Diceros bicornis minor: one gene and its partner. The main gene of each other region encodes a partner of the protein of the gene in region 2 in a complex. Links are inferred from orthologs where the notes say so. Each region holds a gene or a part of one and is shown on either strand. Other genes may lie near its edges.

The links. The genes of interacting proteins can lie anywhere in the genome.
Region 1: RBL2 (region 2) and TFDP1 share a complex: the UniProt entries of both Homo sapiens proteins name them as parts of the DREAM complex. The link is inferred for Diceros bicornis minor from reciprocal best matches to the Homo sapiens genes RBL2 and TFDP1.

What each region holds. Positions count from the first base shown.
Region 1 is NC_080748.1:87,232,636-87,242,415, reverse strand, and holds the start of TFDP1 (transcription factor Dp-1), read right to left. Parts: upstream 3,990-9,780; 5' UTR 3,972-3,989; intron 3,937-3,971; exon of another isoform or gene 3,861-3,936; intron 3,073-3,860; 5' UTR 3,010-3,072; coding exon 2,998-3,009; intron 1-2,997. UniProt on the Homo sapiens protein: Can stimulate E2F-dependent transcription.
Region 2 is NC_080771.1:6,626,668-6,637,032, reverse strand, and holds the start of RBL2 (retinoblastoma-like protein 2), read right to left. Parts: upstream 4,843-10,365; 5' UTR 4,755-4,842; coding exon 4,515-4,754; intron 2,225-4,514; coding exon 2,094-2,224; intron 1-2,093. UniProt on the Homo sapiens protein: Key regulator of entry into cell division. Directly involved in heterochromatin formation by maintaining overall chromatin structure and, in particular, that of constitutive heterochromatin by stabilizing histone methylation.

The sequences.
Region 1 (9,780 bases), on a different chromosome or scaffold from region 2:
CCTCGAGCATGTACCAACTTAATCCAAATCAGTGAATGCTGAAGGAAAGAGGGAAGGCTGACTCCCGAGCCGGCTCCTGCCCCAGCCTCCAGGCCGGCTTCCCCAAGACACGTAGGAGCGGGCATCTGGGGTTGGTCAGCACCACACCTCCCCAGGCAGCATCTCCCCTCTACGAGGACCAGAGTAAAACCAGAGAAGCAGGACAGACACTCGCCCCAGGGCGCCTCACGCGCCCGCTCATTCTGTGGCGCACCTCCAGGGGAAGGAACGCACTTTTAAAATGAAATATTAGCTACAAACCACCAAAGACTCAGGCTTATTTTCACATCTGCTGGAAACTGTGGGGGCTTTTTGAAACAAAGGAATCACGGCGTTTTGTCTAGATACTTTTGTAAAAATACACAAACACTTATTTCTGATCTAGACACAGAAGATGTAAGGTGTGCAGTCAGTGCCAGTGCCATGCTCGCCCGCCCGCACACCCACTGGGCTCGCTGCCTCGCCCTCCGATCTCAGCAAAGACGGCGCTGCTCCTGAGAGACCCAGCCGGCCCGAGCCTGTCTGCTGTCCGCGCCCGCAAGCTCCTTGAGTGTGGCCGGCCCCGCCGCTCCCTGTGCGGCACAGGCGCTCCACAGCAGCAGAGCACAGACGCAGGGATGGCCACACCCCCCCCACCTTCCTCCGTTCCCACTCCAAGAAGCAAGGTGGGCAACACATGGGAACCAGGGGCCTGGCTCGTCCGGGGTTCTAACCAAGACAGGACGGGGGACACTCCCAGTCCTCCTGGGAGACCAGACGACATCGGGCCCTTCGACCAAAGACACAGTCCAGCGGATCTGCCTGCGACGGCCATCCGAGCCCAGGTGCCTGCCCACTGGCCCTTGCTGCGGTCCCGCTCACCTGTCAGGATGGCCCTCGCTGCCCCACCTGCCACCCCTCCCCAGCCCAGCCCACCACCCTCTCCCCCAAGGGGCTGCTCTTGCCTTTAAAACCCGTGCACACCCACCACCCCATCACCATCAACCGGCTTGCTCCCGTCCAGCCATTCCCCTGGCTGTGTCCCCTGCACCTCCACAGGAAGCTGCCATTCGCCTCATCCTCTTCACCAAAGTCTGCCTGGTTGACACCTCACTGGTCCCCTAAGTTTGTCCTCCTCCGCTGTGACCCCCAGAGCTAACTCCAGCCCCCTCCAGCCTCCCCAGCCCCCAACAGCCTTCCACGGAACCCCCAGAGCTCTGGCTGACGCCCGTCAACCCCAGGGGCTTGGCTCCCACCTATGCTTACGGGCTTGATCTCACACCTAAGATCAAACTGGAACGCCAGAGCTGAGATTAACCACGGCTGCTTCCCCGCCAACCCTGGCTGCCAAAATCATCCTTCCAAACCCAAATGTCACACCCCCACTTAAAAAACTTAAGGCAGCCTGAGGAAAGGCCAAATGCCTGGTGGAACCTGGTTCCAGCCACACCTGGTGTCGCCAGCTCTCAGGACAGGGAAGGCCTCTCAACTCCGCTCGCCCCATGATGGTTCTCAGCCCACACTACCCGGTTATCATCGCTGCGCCCAACCCTCCACAGGGTCACCAACTCACATGATGATGATCCAACACCAGATGCGGGGGAACCACCCCACCATCAAGCCCTGGGGTGGCCTGCAGGAAGTGACCCCGAAGAAGATCGTTCACAAGTCCTTCCCCTGCAACCAGGCGGCAGCAGCCTCGACTGTCTTTACCTCCCAGGCCAACGAGGAATCACAGGGCCTCCCAGCAAGGAGTCTCTCCCTCTCCTCCAGTCAGGTAATAAAAGAGGGCAGATAACTCGCTTCCCTGAAACTCGCACCCCAGGACTGCAGACTAACAGGCTTGGGGGCCAGCAGCGCCCTCTGAAGGATGCGACTGCGCGTGGCCACCTGCCTTGCATCTTGGGAGAAACACACCACAGAACTGGGCACCACCATCAACAAATGCAACGAGAGACGATAAACCACCTCAATCACACACAGATTACGACTCTCCCTTAACGGACACCACACAGGGTGCAAGTGTGTGTTCACACACACCCTCCACCAAACCAAAGCCAGCGCCTAAGGTGAGGGCCTGCCGGACGGTCGGTGAGAGCGAGGGGCGCCCTCTGGCACCTTCAGAGAACATTAAACCCCCGGAACTGATGGGAAGGCTGACATGGTCACTCGGTCCCCAGATACGGACACATCTTCACCACCTCTGGCTGTGGTTCAGGTAGACGCAGCTCCTCGGAGCTGTATGTACAACCCTGTGCAATACACAAGCAAATGGCCTCTCTTCGCTAATGTTTACAGAGCAATGCATTCCGAGACACTAAAGGGTGCAGCGGGGTTTCAGGGAATTTAACTGATCTTACCAAGTGTAGTCAAGAACCACATGAGCCATTAAATAGACCCTGTTTTTGCACCTAAAAGCCTATTTGTTGGAACAGATTTAAAAATTCAGTATATTCTCTAGTTTCACGACAAATACAAAGCAAGCTAAAGTAGAATTTTTCACCACATTTCATTAATCACCAAGTTTCATTTTTTGAGACAAAGGGAGCCAAAACAAGTGCTCAGCACTGGACGGACCCAGGCTGAACTAACTCCCCATACTCTGCACGCAGGGGCTCGGCAGTGGGGATGCGACCAGCGCCTGACCCAGGCCCCATCCCAGCGACTGAGGGGTCTGTCCTGCAACAAGACAGAGTCCACATCCAGTCTGAGAGGACTCGAGGCCAGTGTGTCACGGATGCTGACACGATGTCTGTCACCGGGGCTCAGATGCAAACCCAGGTGTGGAAGGAGGCCCACACCCGCGCCAAGCACCAGCTGCCCCGACGGTTCCCCCCCCCCCCCCCCCCCGCGCCGCCGCACTTGCTCTCGACACCGACAGCAGACCCCGCCGCCGGCACGGTGTCACTCTCAACCGCAGCGGGAAAACCACAGAACGCGGCGCCAACGGCCGTCTGTGCACGAGGCGGGCATACTTACATCTTTGGCCATGTTACCAGATCCGTGAAATCGATGCTATAACTGTCCACCCTCCAGAGAAGAAAAGTGATTTTTCTGGTAAGAAGGAAGGAAAAACAAGAAATGAGTAAGAACGAGAAAACAAGTTAACACAATATCAACCCTTCCCGCGGCACCCCCACCCCGGCTGCCCCTCCAGGGTGCTGGGCCTTCCGTTCCAACCACAGCCCCGCCTCAGAGCGCCGCTGGCAAAAGCAGCCCGACGCTGGGATTTTAAGTCATCCCGGCGGACGGAGGCACATCCAACACCAGGATGCCCGGCGATGCCCGGGCGCCCCAGCCGCGGCCGTGCTCCCCGGACGCCCACACAAAGGCCCTGCGCCCCCGCCTGGCACACGGCCGGCCCCCAGGACGCAGGGCACCGCTCACCCCGCGCCGGAGGGGACCCGCGCCCCGCGCAGTGCGCGCCCCGGGGCGCCCGCCCGCCCGTCCGCCCGCCGCCCCCCGCCCGCGCCCCCGCGGCCGACCGCGCCGCTGACAGGTGGGCTTCCGGGGTCCCGCGCGCCGGTCACTAGGCCGCGGCCGCCCCCGCGCGCCCCGGAACCGGCAGTCGGGGCAGCGCCGCCCCCGGACCCCGGACCCCGGACCCCTGCGCTCGGCCGACCCCGACCCAGACCGGCCCCGACCCGACCGCGCCGGACGCGGCGCGGCGGCTCCGCCTGGAGGCCCCGCCCGGACCCCGGCCCCGACCCCGCGGCCGGGTCATCTGGGGGCCCGCGGGCGGGCGGGGGGCGCAGGGGTCCGGGGACGCGGACCGGGACCGTCGTGTCGGGGTGCGCCCGCGTGCGCCCTCGGGACCCGGCCGCGCGGCCTGCCCGCCGCACCTGGCTCGCGGGCGCGGACTCGGCGGGCGCGGGAGCGGTCCGGGCGGCTCCGGCCGCGGGGTCCCTGCCCGGCCGGGGTCCTGCCCTGCGAGGCGCCGGCGCGGGGCTCACCCTGGAGGGAGCGTCGGGCGGCGTGACGTGCGCGGCGCGGTGACGTGGGCGCGGGCCCGGCTCCCGCAGCGCGCCTGCGCGCCTTTTCGCGCCTTCGGCTCCCTCCTCCTCCTCGCCCTCCGCCTCCCGCCGGTGCGGCCCGCGCTCGCGCCCCGAGGGGGATGGGCGGCGCGTGCGCGTGTGCGCGGTGCGTGCGCGCGGGCGGGCGGAGGGGGGCCCCGGCGTGGGACGCGGCGGTGCGCGCGCGGGTGCGCACGCGGGGGAGGGGTCCGGGTGTGGACGCTTGTGTGTGCTGCACACGCGGAGGAGAAAGGGGGCGGATGCATGTACACATACGCACGCAGGGGAGAGGGGGGCCAGGTGTGTGCATATGCACATGGGTGTATTTGCGGGTGTGCGTGCACACAGGCAGAAAGGGCACAGATTTTGTGCTCACAGGTGTTTATGTGCGCGCACGGAGGAAAAGAGGCTGGGTGTGTGCACCGTGGAGGAGAAGAGATCGGTGTGTGCGCGCACGTGTGTATGTGTACTCGCGGAGGAGAAAGGCGGGCTAGGTTTGTGCACGTGGGCGTGTTTGGGCGGGTGCGTGTGTAGGTGCACGGAGGAGACGATGTGTGTGCGCGCAGCGCAGAGGGCCCTGTCCACCTGGTGGTGCTCTCCTGTCCGTGCTCGGCCCTCCGCCCAGATTCTGCGCGTCCTTGGTGCAGAATGGTGCCGGGGAGGGAAACTCGGCAGCCGGTTTGCTTCTCATCTCCAGGAGCGCCTGGTGGACCCTGAGCCCTGGAGACTTGTCCTCCCTGCAGCCCACCACCACCAGGGCATTGGGCCCAGGGCCTGGAGACCCAGCAGAGGGCGGGCTGGGCCTGGGAGTCAGTCCAAAGGTCAAGGCTGCATCAGACGGCGGTGTGCAGCGAGCACAGGCATAAGAGCACAGGCATAATTACCATCTCGGGACTTGAGCACGGGAGCAAAGGCCTCTGCACCGAAGGGCAGTGTGTTTGCATTACACCCCCTAGCGCGAGGTCAGTTTAGGTTACTCCAGTCTTAAACTGTTAACACCTTAGTGAGCACTAATTTCTTCTTGAAGACAGCAGAAATCTTCATTCTTTGTCCAGATTAGCACACAATGGACACATGGGCAGAAACATGGATGGTGCCGTGATGGGGGTGCATTAAAAGCTTCCAGAGGGAAAGTCCTACAGAAGGACCTTATTTCTCTGCTGGTGGAATTTACACTGCTCTACCCTTAGCAAGTGCCCATGATACCGGAACCTACATCCCTCCCTTTGGTACCTCCAGTGGCCATATGTCCCTAGCTCCATTTTTCTTTCACAGTAATTCGTTTTTGACTATATTTGGCTATTTACCCCCAGATGGCAGCCGGAAGCCCCCTTCCCAGCCCTTGGACCCAAGTGCACAGGACAGCAAGTCTCCTTTGAGAGCTAGGGGCTCACAGTTAGGAAGAAATGGAGGATCAGAGGACGGAATCTTAAGCCTCTGCCTACAGATTCAAGGTTCCCGTGATTCGATATTGTTTACACGGGATGACTACCTGTAATATTCGAAATAATTTCTGCACAAAAATCCCTGTAGTGAAATATTCTGAACTCACAAGAGCTACCACAGCAATGACAGCTCTTTGAGGCTCCGGTTTACTTGGGGAAAGGGAAAACACTTGTTCCTCTATAGTCAAATATCCCCCATTTCTGTGTTAAAAAGTAACAATTCTCTCTTGGTTGAAGATCCAAATATTTTCAGCCACTGCCTTGCCTTGAAGTCTCTAGATCAGATTGCAGGAATGCAACCTCTTGATAAGTACCGCACCCCAACTCCCTGTATTCATCTGATCCTTCCATCGCCATCTGTGTCTGGGGCAAGAGTTGTTCAGGAAGCGTGACTTCTAGTGTTGATCCACTTCCCAGTGGCTGGTGTCCAGCCCCGCCTCATCGTCCAGGACACCACAAGAAAATGGTTCTGAAGAAAGTGATCGGGGTCCTTCCCAGGAAAAGTCCTCATCTCCCCAAAGCTCCCTCTCTCTTTGTGTGTCCAGTCTGTTGAGTCTTAGGGCATGAGACAAATCCTTCCCCCTCCCCCACCCCCATAAAAGAGAGAGAGGAAATTTTCTAATCCCTTGAAAACTTTCATTCTAAATCTGTTTGTTCAATACCTGCTTGTCTTTGGCTCCCCCCTCAACGACACTGGTCTTTTCGCCAGCCCTTTCCTGTTTCCCATCTTCCTGGGCCACCTCAGCAACGGTGATGTCAAGAGGTGGGAAGAGCGGGAGGGGACGGGGCTCGTGGGACTTACGGGGGATGTTTCGGGATGTGGACAAGTGACGCTTTCTCATTCTTTGGTAAAATATAAATAAAGGCATCTTGGGAAAACTTTGTTCTGCTTATTTGTGTGTATCGTAAAACTTAAGTAAATCAACGTGCTTGCTCAAGCCCAAGATAAATCCCCCAGCCCTCTCCCCAAGGAGGTCACCGCCTCTAAGCCCCATCTGCCACCCAGACACGTGAAGACGCCTTTACTTCTCTCTTACTCTTCCTTATGTTCACGACTCCTTTTGAGAACTGCCAGTCAAATCCAAAGTCCTCCTCTTGGAAGGAGGGTCAGTCCTTGACGCCCTTGCATCATTATGCTTTGGATATTGCTCATGCCTCCATCACTGAGTCACTTGAACAAGCACTTACAGGCTGAAGCCACAGTCCTTTGAAAAGTGACCCTTGGATACAGCTAATTCTGGAAGACGACAGTGTCCAATTTACTCAACTATCTCTCACAGCGCTGTTCACTACTTAGACTGGCTTTTCATCTGAAATGTTCTCTGGCTTTTACAACAAAAGAAATCCCTTCCGTTCCTTCGCCATTTGACTCCACAATCCTAAAGTGTTCCTTCTGTGTGACTTCCCATTGCTCTAGCTACGATGATGTCAACGTTACTTTCTTCCACGGACCCTACAATGTAAGGCTGAAAGACCCAAGTCCTCTTTGTACCCTTTCCTTCCTCAGTAGAGTCCATTTTCCATCTTTCCAGGAGTGAAAGCAGCCCCAGGAGCCTGCAGCACAATTTTAAGAAACTTGACTTTATGTACAATTGAGTACTTTTGGTCATTTCTCTGCTACCTGTCCACTCATCTTACGGGTTCAGAGAAGGACCTTGGAACCACCCGCTACAATGAAGCTGAGATGAAGGGCAGTCAGACAATAAGTAATCTCAGCTTCTCTGATGTTCAAACTCCTTTAGCTCAGAAATAAGCAGACCAAATCTAGTTCTCTGATAGGAAGACGAACCGCAATTTCAAAACCTTTACCTTTCCTGCATTCCTCATTCACCAAACATGTTTGAGCTCAAATACATGCCAGATGGGACTCTGAGTGCTGAGGTTGCACAGATTAGTAAAATGGAGGATGGCTTAAACAGGAAAGGCAGATCACGTACAATCGAATACAAGAGGAGACAATACTCTTCGCTATAGGGGAAGGGCATTACAGAAGCAGGAACCCTTGTTCCCCCTGCAGGCAGTCTGGAGGGCTTCACAGAGAAGGTGACATTTGAGATGAGCAGTGACCAGCTGAGAGTATACAGAGAGGTGTCGGGCAGTGGTTGCGTCCCTCTGTCCCCAGCTCCTGTGGGGGCCCCTTCCACAACTGTCTGCTCAGGTCCCTAAGCTGTGCTTGCTCCCCGTGCCCTCAGCCTGGGGGGAGTAAGGGCTTCCTGCAGGTCCTCGTCACCTCTACTGGAGTCGTTAGCCCACCCATACCACTACGTTGGTGCCCTTCCAATCTCCATAGACAAAGCCTTCGGTGTCCATCTAGTCCTGCCAACAGTAGGGTTGTTCAAACTCTAAACGTTAAAAGTGATTCCTAATGACATGGATCGATTGATTTGCAGAACCAAGAAAGGATATGCTTCAAGTAGGAGGGAGTGATCAACAGTGTCAAATGTGTTACAGGATCAAGTAGAATGAAAGGTGAATAGAGGTCATTCTACCTGGCAATCAGGTAATTGATGATTTTAGGAGAACAGGTCCAATACCATAGAGGGCAAAGGCCAGAAAGCATCTACCAAAGGAGGTGAGGGCATGGGGGTGAGAGATGGAGGGTAATATCAGAGGGTGAGGGCATGGGGGTGAGGGATTGAGGTGAGGGCATGGGTGTGAGAAAAGCAGGGTGAAGGATGGGGGTGAGGGCATGGAGGGTGAGGGATAGAGGCTAAGGAATGGAGAGTGAGGGATGGAAGTGAGGGCATGGGTGTGAGGGATGGGTGTGAGGGCATGGGAATGAGGGATGGAGGTGAGGCATGGGGGTGAGGGCATGGGGGTGAGGGATGGAGGTGAGGCATGGGGGTGAGGGATGGAGGTGAGGCATGGGGGTGAGGGCGTAGAGGGTGAGGGATGGAGGTGAGGGATGGAGGATGAGGGATTGAGGTGACAGCATGGGTGCGAGAGATGCAGGGTGAGGGCATGGGGGTGAGGGATGAAGGATGAAGGATTGAGGTGATGGCATGGGTGTGAGAGATGCAGGGTGAGGGTATGGAGGGTGAGGGATGGAGGTGATGGCTTGCAGGCTGAGGGATGGAGGGTAGGGGATAGAAGCAAGTTTAATTACATTTTCTTCATATAACCTATCATATTTCTCTAAAATTGCATACACACCATTCTAGGCAAACTTCTCCTTCATCTTTTCCTCTTACAGTCTAAAGCTTCCAACACTAAAGATACTTAATTTTTCTCCAAATCTAGGTTTGCCATTCTATGACTAGAACACAAATTCCTCTGGGGGAAACTATTTAAAATCGTGGTTTCATGGACACCCTCATTCACCATTGGTGGGAATAATAATTAGCACAACTTCTCAGTAAGGCACTTGGGCAAGTGTGTTATTCCTTCAAACGACACATGATATAGCTGATCATGAACTCAGGACTCTTCTACCAAACCAGCTCCGCCCCCCAGCATCCACTAGCTCAGGAAATGCATGGTGCCCACCTAGCTGTTGATACTAGAAACCTAGATAGAGGTAAACAACTCCATCTCCTCTCGCTTCCTCCACTCGTATCCTACTCTAATCTCTCATCTATTCAGCAGCCAGAGCAATGTTTTAAAAATGGAAATTAGCTACTTCCTGCTTCTTCAATGGACTGACCTGCTTCTGGGTTGATGAGAAGCTCAGGGGCCCTGAAATAAACAGACCCCAAGGGAGACTCGTTCCTCAGTGCACTGCTGCCTCACAAAGTATGGGAAAGGTCTCCAGGGACCTAGTCCCAGAGAATGTGCGCTTGAGAAGAATGTGTCTTCTGCTACTGTTGGGGGGAGTGCTCTGCAGACAGTTAGGTCCAATCGGTCTACGATGTTGTGCAAGTCCTCTGTTTCCTTGTTGACCTGTTGGGTGTTCTATCCACGATCAAAAGTGGGGTATTGACGTGTTCTCTATTATCGCAGAGCTGCCTATTTCTTCCTTCAATTCTGTCAATGTTTGCTTCATATATTTAGAAGCTCTGATGTTTAGTGTATATACATTTATAATTGTTATATCTTCTTGGTGAATTCACCCTTTGATCATTGTTACAAGAGACAAAAGAGGACATTATATTATCATATCATTAATATCATTATCATTATATTATCATTATACAATGTCCTTTGTCTCTTGTAACAATCTTTTACTTCAAGTCTATTTTGTCTGTTATTAGTGTAGCCACCCCTGCTCTCCTTTGGTTACTAACTGCATGTAAAATATTTTTCCATCCTCTCACTTTGTCTGTGTGTCCTTAGATGGAGAGTGAGTCTTGTAAACAGCATATAGT
Region 2 (10,365 bases):
GCTGATCTTCCTCACCAAAAAAAAAAAATACATGTATATATATATATATATATATATATATACACACACACCCACACACACATGGAATAAATTTTGCCATGTTTGCTTTAGGTTCTACAGAAACAGCCAGAGTTCTCATTTGTACTCCTTCCCAATCTCATTCGCCACTCTTCTTCCCTGAAGATAACCACCATTCTAAGGTTAGTCTGAATCCTTCCATCCATGTTTTTATACTTGCTGTACTTACTACTTACTATACTTACTATATGGATATATATGTATCCATAAACAGTAAGTACTATCTTTTGTATGTGTGGTTGTAAAACTTCATATAAATTGTATCATACTGTAAGTAGCATTCTGCAACTTGCTTTTTCATTCAATAATGTTTCTGAGATTAACGCTGATACATGTAGATCTAATTCATTCATTTTAACTGCTAAAAATATTCCTTCATATGAACTACCATGATTTTTTAAATTCATTCCCCAATTGAGGTTTCCAATTCTTCATTATAACAAAAAATGCTGTAATGAACACATTCTTACACAGGTATGTAAGAATTTCTTTAGAGGCTACCCCAAGAAGTAGAATTGCTGAGTCAGAAAAGGTGCATCTTCAACTTTACTGGATACTGCCAAATTTCCTACTAAAGTGACTGTGCCAAGTTATACTCTCACCTGTGTATACTAATAATACAGAGGTCCTGTTTCCCTACATAATGACCAAACTTGGTATTATCTGACTTCAAATCTCCCCAATCTGATGAGAATGAAATGTTATCTTGTTTTTACTTTGAACTTCCTTGATTAGTCGCGAGACTGAACATCTTTGCCTATATGTATTAGCTATGTGAGTTTTGGCCTTTGTGGAATCATATTCTTTACCCTTTTTAGTTGCTGTTTGTCAATTATTTAACCATTTGATAGTAGTTCTTTATATAATTCTGGATACTGATCTTTAGTCAATTATATGCATTGTAAATATCTTCTCCCAATCTGCTCTTTGTTTTTAATCCATTAGTCCATTATGGCAGAAAAGTAAATAATCTGAACCCATAGGTAAAAATTTAAAGATAAAAATTGAGTTTTTGAAATGGAAATAAAACTGAAGCCCGGATTGTATTACTTGCATTAAAATGTTAGATAACTTTAGTTTACTATAGTTTTTCATGATGATTCCATAATTTGATCTTTGCTTCTAAAGTTCCTCGTCTGTCACTTAACTGGATTACTCTGCCTCCATTTCTCTTCTTTGTAATGATTATACTTTTGCAACTTATTTAAGTCCACTTCTGCAGGATTACAGCCCAGGTGTTCAACTCTTTATGCACTGCCTCTTGTTCTTAAGCCTAAATATAACTCAGGATGGAGTTCAAGGTTAATAAATAGAATACAGCTGAAATATTACATTTCTTGTTAATTATTTTAATAGTAAGTGATTTTTTAAACCATTAGGTCCATAAATTTTGACAGTGGTATTTCCCCCAAATTGCCAAACATCCTTTTCCCACCAATCTTTAATAAGCCATAAGAGAAAATTCACCCAAAAGGCACAAATAGTAAATGTAATCAATTAAATTACACAACAGATAGAAAAAGCAATTTCTGCCTCTTCTTTAAAACATTACTTGACCTTTTCTATAATAGATTCTAATAGTGTTGCTTATCTCCCGAAGAGGAAACCGAGAAGTATTTACATGTTCCGTATATAAGTGCTGTGCATGCAGTTCAAAGTTTAATACCATATAATATTTTATTTACCTTTTCAGTCCAGAGTATTTCCTAAAGTTTCTCAATATCCTTATTTGGAATTCTCCCAATATTACACAATGATGAGTCAAAACCTTTAATAGTAAACTCTTCATACAAGTGCCTAATACCTTAAAATTCAAATATTTTTCACCAAAGAAGCAAAATAGAATGGATACTAACTTAGATGTGGTAAAGGGAAACCATGACCTAGCTTCTAAATTCAGCACTCCATAGGTACAAACGCTCAGAAAACGATGAACAAAGAGAATTCTTACTATCACTGTAATTTATGAGCTTTTAATGAGTCACACTCTACTTTTCAAATTCTAACATAATTACCTCTGCTCTGAACATCGCAGGATTCTAGTTAAAGATACATAGTTCCCTTCAACTGTCCCTTTGCTGACAGTTGGCACAGATTTTCTGCAAGCCACGTATAAGGCACATGCTAACCAATGAAGATCATTTCCCTGTAAAATAAAAGAAAATTGATTTTTACCTAATGAGCTATAGATATTTCAATATAAAAAAATTCTTACGTTTAAATTGAAAGTGTTATTTATATGTTTGTGGGAAACTGTATTTTCAGTGATGGCTGATCCCATGTTTCTTCTCATAAGGTAACATTGATGTTGTTCCACTGAGAGGGAGGAGTCTGTGTTTCCTTACTTTGAACTGTCTCAGCCAATAGCACAGGTGGAAGTGATACCACGTAACTTGCAAGATCATAAAAGGCAATACAGATTCCACCTGGCTCTGTCTCTCAGGACATGTGCCTTGGCAGTGCCAACATGGGAGCAGAACACCCTGGGCAAACTACTTAACAGTCACAGAGGCTCAATTTTCTTATCTGAGGACTGTGAGAATTAAATGAGTGACAAGTATAAAGCATAGAAAATACAAGAAATCAAAAGATACAATTCGATAACCAGTATTCTGTGTTAAATATCCATGAGCTTTATTTTCCATTGTACACTTCCATGAGCCTGACATCCCACAATATCTTACAGAATACCTGACTACAAGCTCCACAAGGGCAGGAATTTTTACATTTTGTTCACTGCTCTATTCCCAGCACCTACAAAAGTGGCAAAGAATAGGTGATTGTGAAATATTCACTAAATGAATAAATATTCATTCATTTATTGAGTAAACTGAGCTAAGAATCTGAGATCAAAGTCTTAAAAAAGTTGAGTAATCAAACATGTGTTTTCAGAAATAATTTACTAACCATCTATTATTTGTCACTTGCTTATATAACACGGGACTTCACAGGACTTAACCTCTGTGAATTGAAATACGTCAACTATATGGTGATAACGCTTGTTCTATCTAATCTAGATAGAACCTCAGGATTATCCTGAGGGTAAAATAAGAGCTTATTTTGAGGCAATTACACCCATCACCAAAAAAAAAGTCTTTCTCTCTGCCTGACCACAGGAACCACTGAGAAATAAATAGGAACATGGCCTTTTCAGCCTGATCACCTAAGTATATGATAGAGCTTTGTAAATTCTAAAGCACTGTCTATATGAGCGCTTTATGTGCCAGAAACTACACACTACCTGATTTAACCTTCGGAATGGTTCTGTGAGGTAGGTACAAATATCTCAAATTTACACAGCACAAAAGTGAGTTTTGGAGTGGTTAAGTAAATTGTCCAGAGTCACCTAGGTCTGTCAGGTTCTAAAGCCACTGTATTACTAGCTTTTCTTTCTTTCTCTTTTTTTGTAGATATAACAATGGGGAGAAGAAATCGAATTAAAATTCTATTGATGCAAGAATAAATAAAAAAAATAAGCCGAGTGAGTGACACGTTGGCAAAAACACCCTGTTACAGTCAAATAATACCTTGGGTTAGGCCTTCTCATTCTGAGCCTATTTGCCCTACTCTTTCCCCAAACTGTAAAACAACCTAAGAAAATCACGCGGCCTCCTGTTTAAATGCCACCCACACGGGCAGTCAAACAGCTAATAAACAAGACAGACTTCCGCGTCCCTTCCCATTGGCCCATGACGGGGAGGTGCCTACGGAGTGGAGCCTCACTGGCTAGAATGGCTATTTTTCTCATCTGCAGGCCCGCCCGAAGAAAGGGGCACAACACGCCTAAATCACAGCGACTCTGCGAGTCCTGTGCAAGGCCTGGGGCCACCAAAAGCCCCCCAAAGTCGTCGCGGCCTCGTGACAAAGCGGGGCGTGTGTCTATATCCAGCTGGGCAGAAAGTCCATTTCCTTCGCCCTGGGGAAGATTCGTCTTTGTTTACACCTCCGTAAACACAGCCCGCATCTTAACGCGTTTACGCAAACCGATGCCAAGCCCGGACAAAGGCCATTTGGCGCCGTCGGAAAGAAGTGAAGGAGAAGCCCACAAACCCGGCGCGAACACGGGCAGGTCCCCCGCCCTTCCCCGGGCGGTCCTGACACCCGCACCTGTCTGTCCTGCCAAAACGGTGGCTGTATTTTTGTCATTGTGACCCCGGCACGACCTCAGCCCCGCGCTGCTACTTTAGGGCAAGAGGTGACCCCGCTCGGAACCCGGCAGGGCAGAGCCGCGAGGCGGGTTCACCGTCGGGGCCGCTCAGAGCTCTGCCAGAGCCGGGTTCCCAGGCGCAGGGGGCTCCCACCCCTCTCCAGGGGACCCGGGGAGCCGCGCCCGCCGGAGGACCCCGCGGGCGCCGAGCGGCCAGAGGCGAGGCCCCTCCCCGCCGCGGGGCGCGCCCACTAGGCCCGGAGAGGCGCCCGTCTGCCCCCGGGCGCACCTCCAGCGTGTAGCTCTCGCTCATGCTCCGGTAGCTGTCCCAGGCCTCGGCCCGCGCCGCCTCGTCCATGTTGAGGCGGCTGCACAGCTCGTCGAACCGCTGCTGGGTCTGAGGGGCTGGCGACCGGGCCGGCTGCGCGGCGTCCTCCGCCTCGCCGTCGTCGTCCTCCTCCTCATCCGAGGCTGCCGCCGCCGGAGGAGGAGGCGGGGGTGGCGGCGACTGGTCGCCTCCCGATGGCATAGCGCACCCCGGGACGGCCGGTCCTCAGGTGAGCTGAGGGCCCGGGCCCGCAGCCATTCAAACCGCGAAGCACCCGCCTGTCGGCCGCCCGCACAGCCACTGCGCCGCCCCCAACGGCGCTGGACCTCACTTAGGCACCCGTAGTTCTGAGCACGGCCTGCTGGGAAATGTAGTCCAGGCCGGAGGCTCGCAGGGGTCAAAAATCATCTTTAAAAAATCAGCTCGCGTACTCTTTTTTTCGCTGAAGTGAAAGCAGCTTCTGTACATGTTAAGTGCTGCCTCTTCATCGTGAGAGCATCCATCAGGGCTATGCTGAAGACAAAACATCCAAGGAACATTGACATGTGAAGGTTTAGTGTCCACGGTGTCACCAGAAATAACATTCATCGCCTGAGTGTCCTTATGTAAAAAATAAGGATAATAGAAAGGACCTATATGCCTAAGTTCAAATTTAGGCTTCACTCCTAATTTATAGTTCTTTGCTATGTTTTAATTTTATCTGAGCCTTTCAAATAATTATTGGATTTTTTTTAAAGTGGTAATTCTTTTTTTCCCCATGGGGCAAATTTACGTTCACTATAAGTGACATATTCATACTACCCTCAGTCACCCAATTGGCTTAATTTTGTTCCTTTCTTTTTATTTTTCTTTCTCCTTTTGTATCTATAGTGAACTTGAATCACTATTTCAAATCTTCTTTGATTTATAAATGGGTAGATTATAAAACATTTTCATGCTTGAGGAGGTGTAGGCACTGCTGTTTTGCTGTGGTGTCGCTTCTCTCTCTCTTCACTGACCCTTTGAACCAGCCACCGTGCTGTGAGGAAGCCCAGGTCACTTGGAGAAGCCTATTGTCAAAGATAAATAAAGCCAGACATTAGTAAAAGGGGTGAAAACAGATTTTATTCAGCCACTACTAACAGTGAGGGAAAGAACTCAGATCCATTCTGATTTGGCAGAGGCAACTGGGTGATTTAAAGAGAGAATGAAGGAGTAGGGGTGGGGAGAGTGCAGAGCTCAAGCAAAAAACTACAAAGAGTTGGTGAGTGTAAATGTGACTAGGCCAGCTGTGTCTGCTAGCTGGCAATTTGTTGAAGTTAGTTCTCACCAAGTGCACAGGACCGGGGGCCCCTGGTCCTCAGCCCAGCCATGTTGGATGAGCCAGATTGGAAGCAGATCTTCCAGCCTTCCATCAAGCTGTCCCAGCTAATGCTGTATGGAGCAGAGATGAACCTTCCCACTGATCCCCGTCCAATTTGTGGGCAAAGGAAATTATTATTATTGTTTCAAGTCATGAAGTTTTAGGATGGCTTGTTATGCAGCAGTAAATAATCAAACACCTGTTAAGTGTAAGACATGTATTTATCAATTATCATGAAAGAAAAAAAATCACTTAATAATTGGGTGTTTTTCTTGGTAATTTTTTATGCCTCCACCAGTCTCTCCAATAGATTAAATTTGTTTAACCTTAAAAAGCTAAAATTACTTATGTATACACGTGGAATACCACTCAGCCATAAGAAACGATGAAATCCAGCCATTTGTGACAACATGGATGGACATCGAGGGTTTTATGCTAAGTGAACTAAGTCAGAGGGAGAATGATCTCACTCATAAGTAGAAGATAAAAGCAACAAACAATCACAAAGAGACAAAGATTGGATTGGTGGTTACCAGAGGGGAAGGGAGGAGGGAGGAGAGCGAAAGGGATGACTAGGCACATGTGTGTGGAGATGGGTTGTAATTAGTTTTTGGGTGGTGAACATGATGTAATCTATGCAGAAATAGAAGTATAATGATGTACACCTGAAATTTATACAATGTTATAAACCAATGTTACAAACCAATGTTACCACAATAAAAAAAATTAAAAAGCTAAAATTACTTAAGAATTGACAACATTCCTTCAAAAAAAGAGATAGGTTTTAAGTCAGAGCCACTTTTTGTGTGTGTGTGTGTGAGGAAGATCAACCCTGAGCTAACATCCATGCTAATCCTCCTCTTTTTGCTGAGGAAGACCGGCTCTGAGCTAACATCTATTGCCAGTCCTCCTCCTTTTTTTTCTTCCCCAAAGCCCCAGTAGATAGTTGTACGTCATAGTTGCACATCCTTCTAGTTGCTGTATGTGGGACGCAGCCTCAGCATGGCCGGAGAAGCGGTGCGTGGGTGCGCGCCCGGGATCCGAACCTGGGCCGCCAGTAGCAGAGTGCACGCACTTAACCGCTAAGCCACAGGGCCGGCCCAGAGCCACTTTTGATGATGGAGATTAACTGACTTGGACATAATTTTTGAACAAGTTCTTAAGAAAAGAGTTGAAATTAGATTCTTAGACTATGCTTAACAAACACTTATTTCTCTTATCTTATCTCCTTCTCCCAGAAGTTCGAGTGGCCATCTTAAAACACAAATCTGATCACCTCTTGCCTCCGCTAAAATGGTTTCCTGCTGCTCTTCTCAGGAAGTCAACACCCTGACAGCCTACAGGTTGCCTGTCTCCGTGCTCTCTCCCACACTTCCCCCGCATCTTCAATCACTCCTTCCATCAGTGAAGTACCACCTGAGATGTCAGTTTCTCAGACAGCCCTATTAAATATTCTCATGGCACTTATTATAATCATAATGAATTATTTACGTGTTTATGTTTCATGTCTATCATCCTCACTATGCTTTAAGATCTATGAGAGGAGCGACTGTCTCTCTTTAGTTCCATTCTGTGACCTTAGAGCCTACTTATGGTGCCCGGCATGTTATTGACTCACCATTATATTTATTGAATGAATGACTGCTTATGATAAGTAAGATATATCTTCTTCTTATTAGAGCCTTAGATTTTGTGCATGTAAAATCCTTACTCATGTTGTGATCTGATAGCCCAATAGAATGTCTGACCGTAAATGACAGTCGCCTAAAAATAAACTTTGTTTACATTATATTTATCACTTAAAATACATGAGAACTGTGAAACTTTGCCAAAATTTTTTATATAACAAAACACACAGGTCTTCAAACTTTTTGATCATGTCTCCCTAAAAGATATAACCTTCTAGAATATCTTAGTGTTGACATCTAATTTTTTTTTTTTTTTTTTTTTTGCTGAGGAAGATTCACCCTGAGCTAACATCTGTGCCAGTCTTCCTCTATTTTGTATGTGGGTCGCTGCCACAGCGTGGCCGCTGAAAAGTGGTGTAGGTCCACACCTGGAACCACACCCGGGCTGCCAAAGCAGAGCATGTCAAACTTAACTACTAGGCCATCGGGCCAGCCCCGAGATCTAAAATGTTTCATTAAAAGTTTGATCAGGTGCAAAGGATGTAATATCCAGCATGTAACTATAAACCTTTTAAAATAAAACCTTTTAAAATAAACTTTAAATATATCCAATGGACTCTAAATATCATGATTTGATACTCACTGTCATCCAATTTTAAAAATACATGAACAAAACTTCTCTTTAACAATTGGAAATTTTCTATCATTCCATTTTCTCTTTCCCCTCATATTCCCGTTCCTACTATCCCAACAAAATGTTATCCTAATATGTTTTGTGCTTGAAAGTCCTTTATTGATCTCTTTCAGATCTCCTTTCAGCAAAAATGTACAGACAAATTAATTTGTTTTAGTATCCTTCTGTTCATTCTTTTATGTCAGATTCATTGAGGTCTAATTTGCATGCAGTAAAATTCACTCTTTTATATGTACAGTTCTATGAATTTTGACAAATACATACAGTCACGTCCACCACAAACAAGAACACTTCCGTCATCCTGAAAGTTTCCTTGTGCCCCTTTGTAGAAAAACCAACCTCACATAGCCCCTGGTAACCACTAATCAGTTTTCCGTCCCCATAGTTTTGCCTGTTTTCCCAAATGTCATAGAAACATAATCATAAAATATGTAGCCTTTGAGTCCGGCTTCTTTGAATGTAGCAAATTGCCTTTCAGATTCATCCAAGTTGTTGCATGTGTCAGTAGTTCATTCTTTTTTATTGATAAGTAGTCTTCTGTTGTATGAATGTACCAACGTTTCTTTATCCATTCACCAGTTGAAGACATCTTGGTTGTTTCCAGTTTTTGGTGATTATGAGAAAATCTACTGTAACATTTATGTATATGTTTTCGTGTGACACGAGTTTTCATTACTCTTGGGTAAATACCTAGGAGTATGTTATGGACTGCATGTGTCCCCCCAAAATTCATATGTTAAAGCTCTAACCCCCAATGTGATTGTATTCTGAGATAGGGCTTTTAGTAGGTAATTAAGGTTAAATGAGGTCGTAAGTGCAGGGCCCTAGTCCATAGGATTGGTGGCCTTATAAGAAGGTGCCCAGGCAGACTAAGACAGAGTGGTATTACTGCACTGCATAGTAAATGTTAAACTTTATAAGAAACTGCCAATTTTTTTGCTAAAGTGGCTCTATCATTTTGCATTCCCACCTACTTTGAAATTTAAATTTATTTTCTGTGATCATGAAGCTATAAGTGTTAAATTCCTTTCAGATTGAGTGATCAGATGGCTTTTATTGAGACTATGGCTTGAACTGTGTTTGCAGTTTGTTTATGTGTCTCCCATAAACATTCAAAAAAAAGAAAAAAAAAAGTGCTGCTGCCAGCAAAAACTGTTCATTTGTTTTGAATTTCCACTTGAGGCTGCTATCTACTCAGGCGGGCTCAGGCCAATTTATATTTCACCTGGTATGTGAAGAGTCTCTTGTTGAGACCTCAGTTAACTGGCATTTTATTTGTGATTAATTCCAGTCAGGTGTTTGTGTCCCATATAGACTGATACCACGAGCCCAGCAGGTCTACCCCGCAAACCAGATTTGCTTATTGCGAATGAGGATCTGCCTGCCAAAAATTCAATCCACCGTATAAACTACAATTAGCTAAATTTAGTGCCCAGGGAAGCCTTGGCAATCTGGAATAAACACAGCCTGCCCTTTTAGCTCTTTCTGTCATTATAAACAATTATTGCCTTATGATGCCTACAAGGTGTGTTGGAGGGGATATTGGGCTACATACCATCAACTGCTCTGTACTGTTGAGTTTTTAAACACTTTGTCTATTTTTTTCTTCTTTCTTGCATTCAGGCTATAAGATGTTTCTTTTCACTGGGGTCACCATATGACATTTTGGTAACCCTTTTTCTCCTCTCTTTTATTGAGGAAGGGATACTTGCAAACTAGGTAACTGAGGTGGCTGGGAATGTGTATCCAGGTAAGGACCAACAGGCCACGAGTGAGGGCCTTGCTTTCAATGGAGGGCATAGATGTTAGTGATTGAGTTTAAGAAATCAATCTTGACCACAAAAGACCCCAAATAGCAAAAGCAATCTTGAGAAAGAGGAACAAAGCTGGAGGCATCACACGTCCTGATTTCAAACTATAGTACAAAGCTATAGTAATCAAAACAGTGTGGTACTGGCATAAAAACAGACACATACATCAATGAAACAGAATAGAGGATCCAGAAATAAACCCACGCATATATGGTCAATTAATTGACAACAAAGGAGCCAAGAATATACAATGAGAAAAGGGTAGTCTCTTCAATAAATGGTGTTGAGAAAACTGGACAGCTACATGCAAAAGAATGAAACTGGACCACTATCTCAT